Saccharomyces cerevisiae S288C: one gene and its partner. Changing the gene in region 1 together with any one later gene gives a genetic interaction. Each region holds a gene or a part of one and is shown in the gene's direction. Other genes may lie near its edges. The genes, in order: SBE22 and YVC1.

Region 1 (3,930 bases):
CGCAGATCCGGTTTTAATACCAAGCACAAAGGCCAGGTCATCTACAGTGACGGCTGGCACTCCTTCGTCATCTAGCTCAATACAATATAAATCACCTTCAAACGTGCCCAGGCGGTTGACAGTCAGTAACAATAGGCCAGAACATTGCCCAAGCACCATAACAAATCAAAAATTGGGGTCCGCAGTTGCTTCTAATTCCGGAATCAGCTCCACTCCGAACAACAGTAATAACTATAACAACAACACTGATAGTGAGAACTCAAGAGGAAGCAGCGGTAGTAACACTGCAAATAGCACACAAATGGGCATAACCAATCCAGGTAATGTAACAAAGTTATCTACTCATAAGGCTTCTTCACCCTCAAGGCCACTATTTGGAGTTGGAACTTCTCCCAATAGAAAGCCTGCCGGTTCCCCAACCCAAAACATTGGTCATAATTCTACTCACACGAACCTCGCGCCTCCTCCTACGATGAAACCAATGGCCAATAGCAAAGATAACAAGGACATTCTCTTGCAACCTCTGAACAGCATACCTAGTTCTTCTACACTTAACACTATTAGTGGTAATAGCAGCAATAATTTAACCTCATCAAACTACTTTTCCAACGAAAAGGAAGGCTCAAGGGTCAATGGTGACTTTAAACGCAACAACCCAAACTTAAAACTACAAATGCCACTACCTACACCTGTTGTGAGAAATAAACTTCTTGATCCAAATACAGCAACCTCACAGAATAACAATGGCATGCCGGGGAGCGCTGGCATATCCACGAACGAAAATATTAATCAATTTGGATTTAACACAAGCAGTGCGTCCAACATCCCTGTCTCAATGACTCCAATTAGTGAGAAACACATTGATTTTGGGGGCAAGATCAAGAGAAGTCAAAGCATTTCTAACAGGAAGAACTCTTCTGCCTCGGAACACCCATTGAATATTCTTGGCTCATCTGTTTCCGGCAATGTTTCCGGTATCGGTAACAACAATGTTGGCTCTAACAACAACAGCGGCCCTAATAACAGTGTTCCTCTTTCTGCTAATACAGGAAACACTACTATCAAAGCCAATTCTACGACTATCGCAACTTCAAGTTCTGCCGCGGCATCAACGACTGCACCAATTTCACAACAGACTATTCCATCCGGAACACAATTCAATCATATTCTGAGTTCCGCCGCAACAGCTGCAAACTCGGTTAATTCTTTAGGCTTTGGCATGTGTCCTCCTCCACAGAGTTTACAAATGGAAATGTTCTTGGACTTAGAATCGTTTCTGCCAGGAAAACAGAGGCGGGTAGACAGGAAACCCCAGGTTCTGAAAGAACTGGAAAATCTTTTACAAATGTTCGAAGAAGGTTTGCCCTGCATTGAACACGCTTTAAAGGAACAACTTATTTCAACGCCTATCAAGGATAATGAGCATTAAAAGCATCGTCTAGTTTATTCTTTTGTTTATGTACATATTCAAGAAAAATAAGCAAGATGTAAGAAAAGTGAAAGTATATATTTTCTACAGAACTTAACAAGTCCCTTTAAGCACCACATGGAACTCGACTGCGCAAGGTTAGCGCTTTACGGACTTTATTGCTATTCTAGTTCAAAGAAAGCAAATGGCGCAGTTACCAAACCTCGCCATTTGTTTTTTCCGTTATTTTTTCTTCTTATAAACGCGCCTAGAAGAAAAAACCGTGCGAAGCGCAAATCCTGAGAAAGCGCTAAGGAGGTTTCAACCAATGTTTACCACTTGAAATTTTAGCATTCTCATCACTGTAAGAGAGATAATTATCCTGTAAACATTCCAAAATACCTTTTGTAACGCTGATTGTTGTATTTGTTACCCCAGAATTGCCATATATAGTGGAGAAGAAATCGAAAAGGTCATATACAGCAGAACCAAAAAAAATAATACATTCGTTGATCCTTTACCGTTTTCAAGAGTGAAACGTGATCGTGTTTATACTTTTTCGACTCAAATTTGTCCTTATCTTTAGTTAATACGGTCTAACTTGCCACGCTACTCAAGAAATGACCTCGATTCAGGAGCGAGGCACAAGCGCTCATCTGCATTCGCTTAAAGAAGGTGAGGCTAGTGATCGTTCCAGCGAGATGCTTCCTAAACAAAGAAGTATCATAGGATCCCACGTGCAACGTCCACCGTCTCAAACAACTTTAGGAAGGTCAAGGGCTGGAAGCAATACAATGAATAAAGTTTCAGGCTTAGATATTGCTCGAAGACCAAGTGAGAATTTATTATCAAACATGAACTGTAGCGACAACGGCAATGGGGGAAATATGCTAAATTCATTCGTTAACTCGGCTTTACCACCGCCAAAAGTCAACCCTGCTCAAACAAGACGTGAACGTCCCGCTTCAAATAGCTCAATAGGTACCAAGACTACCGAGGTATTTTCATCCACTTCTGCATCTTCCTCCTTGGGAGATACCAGCGATGAGGGAGAAGGCAGTGATGCCGACAAATCTAAAATAAATACTTTTCCCAGCATATTGATGGAAAAGGCTACTCAAGGTAGAGGCGCTGATGGAAATGGAATGAGAAGCGCAAGCAATAATACCATTGTGGAAGCAACTACGGACGGTTCCAAAATGGCACTGCAAAAAAGCATGTCGTTTGATGATACAGCCGCAGAGAAAACTATGAATAAATCTAGACATTCTTACCAAGAACAGTTCTCCTCGAAGAAAAGCCAGTCATCTTTACTGAACAGCAAGCAAAGATCACGTGCTAAATCGCAAACATGCTCGTCTACGGGTTATAACAACAGCAGCATTCTGAAAACGTTTGGCATAAGCTCCAAAATTTCTAATTCAAGTGATCGGATAGAGGCTTCGTCATTAGAATTTAACGTTCCATCTCAGAAACCTTTGAATTGCAAGCCATTAACTCCGTCTCAGAAATACAGACTTCGTAAAGAGCAATCGGAGATGAATTTAAGAAATACAATCAAAAGAAAAGAGAAATTTTATGATAGTCAAGAACAAATTCTTGAGTTACAAGAGGGAGACGTTGATGATTCGTTGATTTGGAACGTTCCTATGGCATCATTATCTACTAATTCATTTCTAGCGTCTGCTAAGCCCGATGATATGAATAACTTGGCTGGCAAGAATGACTTATCAGAATATACCGGAGGTTTGGTAAATGATAACTCTGAAATTTCTTATACAAAACAAAATCATAGGTACTCGAACATCTCTTTTGCGAGTACAACATCAAACGCCTCATTATTGGACTTTAATGAGATGCCTACGTCTCCGATTCCAGGTTTGAACAAAGTAACTGATTTTCAGTTCATTCAAGACACAACCAAGAGTCTAGCCTCTGTTTATTTGCATTCTTCCAATAGGCTTTCAAGATCTAAGCTGTCCGAAAGAACAAAGTCTTCCGATTTCTTGCCAATTGAACTAAAAGAAGCTCAAAATCAAGGCATGGAAGATTTGATACTTGTCTCGGAGAACAAACTAGATGTGGTCAGCCATTCAAGACCGAGTTGGTTACCACCCAAGGATCGCCAGGAAAAAAAGCTTCATGAAAGGCAAATTAACAAAAGCATGAGTGTTGCTTCCCTTGACCAACTAGGAAAAAATAAAGACAGAGAAGAAAAGTTGATTAGAGATGAAACAAATAGGCAAAAATATGTGTTATTATTGGACAGAGATATAACTAGAAACTCCTCCTTACAAAGCCTAAGTAAAATGGTTTGGGACACTCCATTTAGTGACGAAACTAGGTCAACAATTTACAGCGAAATTTTACAGAGCAAGACTAGGTTTATTACCAAAAACTATATTCAACCATTTCATGAGCTACAGGAGCTTTTAACAAAAATGGGAGACTTTCCTAAAAACAAGGAAATTGAAATATCGCAGCTAATCGAAACAAGTTTGAGGCGAAAAGTGAGCGGTTTA
Region 2 (3,930 bases), on another chromosome or scaffold:
TAATGGTCAAGGGGTCAGTGAATGAGTTTAACAAGACGTACAGAGTTTCGTCCCAAACGGGGTTCAATGTGTCTCTTACGGTTCTTGTCTTGGCAATAGATATATCGTTAAATTCGAAAGATAAGTAAGGGTCGATTGATTCGTTCAATATCGAAGAGGTACGTTTTAGCCCCTTTGCATTTTTGACAGTTATTTCTAATATACCAATGGACAAGTTGGAACCAGATAAGAGTTGTGGAATGTTCAATTGTAAAGAAAATGGAGGTAACAAGATTGGACCCATATATTTCTTGGCCATCTTTTGTATTAGTGTCATAAGGCCTGGGATAGCTAAAATTTCCCAATTGAAGATGGAACGGCCGAATAAGGTAGCAACAAAATCAAAATCAGGAACCTTCAGTAGCTGGATATTAACAGTTTCGACATGAGGGAAGGGAGTCATCAATTTGAATTTCACTCTAGCATGAGCCTTGAAAGCAATGTCTGACACAGAAACAGGGATGGTGATACCAAAAATTTTGGCCTTAACAACCGCTAATTCATTAACGTAATTTCTGACTTGCTTAGCACTCATGTCGCATAAATCGTGAGGAGTAAAAGAAATACCCCAGTCCATCACAACAACATCGGATGCAGTGTTTTGGAAAGTCTTCACCAAATCAACTCTGGGGGGTTTAACACCAAGTGTCAACTCATCGATCCATAGTTGAGTAATAAATTTGGGAATCGCCTCATTAGTAGCCATTTGTTCATTAGCTTGCTGAACGATTAATTGACTAACGGAAGGTTCTAAAATGGGCCAGTACTTATCCAAAAAGGCATTCAACCATTCTAGGGATTCATAGTCGTTTTCCACTTTCTGCACCGTGAACTCTTTCTGGACTAACTCTCTTATGGAACCTCTGTATTTTTTAGCAGAGGTTCTATACAACAATGAAGTGATAACGATGACAAAAAAGGCCGACCCCATTGAAAACTTATAATGACCAAGTGCAAATGATGCCACGCCTCCGATAAAGAAAATGGCTACCGAATGATACCAGTCACCGTAAAGGCTGTCCGGTATGATGTTATCTAAGAAGGTTTCTCTAGTCATATCCATCAATTCATCATCTAAAGTTAATTCGTCTTTGTCTTCCCAGCCACCAATCTGTTTCCAGCCGACATAAGAAGCTTCATGGATACTTCTCTTGAAGCTTTCATCACTAGCATGTGCCGCCTTCTCAGATGACACGCTTTTACTGGATTCGGTTTCCTCTTTCGTCTTTGGAGGTTCTAACTTATCTATCCCATTTATGTTAGCTACTTGGGCTGTTTCGGGCTTCTTTGGTGCTGTTACCCCAGTATCTTCTTTGGCCATATTGTATGTACCACGCAATTGAAGTTTTCAGAATGCACTAGCTATCTTTTTTTATCTTAGCTATTCTTCTTCAATTATCCTACTTATTCTTCAGCAAAAAAAAAATAATAAGCTAAGACAATGCTATACAAGTCAATTACCAGCCAGTAAGTCCAAATTGGAGTAGCCAATGCTATTAGTTGATAATTTTGACGGCCGATTATACTATTCCAATTGCAGCAACATCCCTGTCCCTTAGCTTTTTGAGGGGCCTTTTGTTATAATTTTTCATGCAGCATTCCGGTCGCCAAAGTTGTTATCACTTCTAACGTAAATCGTTTTCTCGTTATGTCCGCTATTTTAGAATGAGAATAATGGATAAAATTGGCCTAAAAAGGGAGCGAGTATAACGTTACTGAGATACAATTGTACATTTTGCCATGGAAATGAGCCAACTAGTCTAATGAGATTTTCAATGCTTTATTTCTTTTTTTAGTTTCTCATTTTATTGTTTCTCTAGTTATTAGTCCTTTGGTTATTTTTATGTCACCACCTCTTGTCACATGACCATTTTTGTTACTTGCTTGGTTTTACAATGATTTATACATTCTTGGGCCTCTCTTGACATATTTTTATCGTCATAATAAGTTCTTCATTCGTTCTCTAAAACAACAAAGTTAGACTCCATGGCCAAGTTGGTTAAGGCGTGCGACTGTTAATCGCAAGATCGTGAGTTCAACCCTCACTGGGGTCGTTAATTTTTTAATTTTTCTCCTACACTGTTGCTATGTCGGAGTTATCTCATAAGAGCTGAAAATATGTGGTAAATTTAGTCAGTATCCTTCGAGGATCAGCTAGAGCCTATTCAATGCAATTGTCATTAATCAGTGGCTTGGTAAGGCAATAGAATTCAGTTATAAAATATAATATTACTAGAACAGGAGCATTATGGTATCAGCCAACGGCGACTTGCACTTGCCAATTTCTAACGAACAGTGCATGCCGGAAAACAATGGATCTCTTGGATTTGAGGCCCCCACTCCGAGACAGATTCTCAGGGTTACGTTAAATTTGAAATACTTAATTGATAAGGTCGTACCTATTGTTTACGATCCCAATGATATTGTTTGTGACCATTCTGAGATTTTATCTCCAAAAGTTGTGAAGCTGGCTTATGAAGCATGTGGCGGGAACCCTAAAGACAAGGCCAACAAAAGAAAATATCAATCTGTCATTATTTTTTCACTTCTTAAAGTTTGTGAGTGGTATTCCATATTGGCCACTATGGAAGTGCACAATGCCAAACTTTACGAAACCAGAAATTTAGCCTCACAACAGTTATGTAAATTGTTAATTGAAAGGGAGGAGACAAGAGACCTGCAGTTTCTTTTCATGCAGTTACTGCTGCGTCGGTACGTAATCAACGAGAACGATGAAGATCAAGAACCGTTGAATGCCTTGGAACTTGCCACAGATATGCACTGTACTACAGTGATAGGATCGAGTGGATTTCAGCGTTGTTTAAAATGGATATGGAGAGGATGGATAGTCCAAAATGGCTTGGATCCCACAACTTTTATCAAGGACGATTCACTGGCGGAAGTGTCATTGATCTCTCATTTCAACCCCGTAAGATTAAAGGCGCCTGTATACCAAAATTATTTGCAGATGATCTTCTCATTTTTGTTTCTAGGGCTTTATACCTTGGTGGTTAATGGTAAGGACTCTGAGAGAGTCCAATCTTTCGATTTGTTAGAAAGCATATTTTATGTTTTCAATACTGGTTTCATCTTGGATGAGCTCACTAAGCTTTATTATATTGGTTATGCGCACCTATCGTTTTGGAATTTATTTAATGATACCACATATTTGATAATCACGTTTGCTATGGGGTTCCGTGCAATGAGCGTAACGCCCCTTAATGCAAAATACTCTTCAGAAGATTGGGATAAAATATCATATAGAGTCTTATCCTGTGCAGCACCATTTGTGTGGTCGAGACTCCTACTATACCTTGAATCACAAAGGTTTATTGGGATTATGTTGGTTATCCTAAAACATATGATGAAAGAATCCATTGTATTTTTCTTCCTTCTATTCTTAATAATGATAGGATTCACTCAAGGTTTCTTAGGTTTGGATTCCGCAGATGGTAAGAGAGATATCACCGGACCCATCCTGGGTAATTTAACAATCACCGTTTTGGGTCTTGGTAGTTTTGATGTTTTCGAAGAATTCGCTCCCCCATATGCGGCAATACTGTATTATGGTTACTATTTTATTGTTTCGGTTATCCTTTTGAATATATTAATTGCTTTGTATTCGACTGCGTACCAAAAAGTTATTGACAATGCAGATGACGAGTACATGGCTTTGATGTCACAAAAGACGTTGAGATACATTAGAGCACCTGATGAAGATGTCTATGTTTCTCCATTGAACTTAATTGAAGTGTTCATGACACCTATCTTTCGTATTCTTCCACCGAAGCGTGCTAAAGATTTGAGCTATACTGTAATGACAATAGTGTACAGCCCATTTTTGTTGCTTATTTCTGTTAAAGAAACTCGGGAGGCTAGAAGGATAAAATA

Evidence for each region.
Region 2: mutations in SBE22 (region 1) and YVC1 together harm fitness more than expected from each alone (negative genetic interaction), as found in Saccharomyces cerevisiae (2 studies listed by BioGRID).

The regions. Positions count from the first base shown.
Region 1 is NC_001140.6:318,386-322,315, forward strand, and holds the start of SBE22 (Sbe22p), read left to right. Parts: upstream 1-2,028; coding exon 2,029-3,930. Other genes in the region: putative serine/threonine protein kinase KIC1, read left to right, coding at 1-1,429.
Region 2 is NC_001147.6:485,420-489,349, forward strand, and holds the start of YVC1 (Yvc1p), read left to right. Parts: upstream 1-2,287; coding exon 2,288-3,930. Other genes in the region: TCB1 (tricalbin), read right to left, coding at 1-1,360. UniProt on the Saccharomyces cerevisiae protein: Required for release of calcium ions from the vacuole in response to hyperosmotic shock.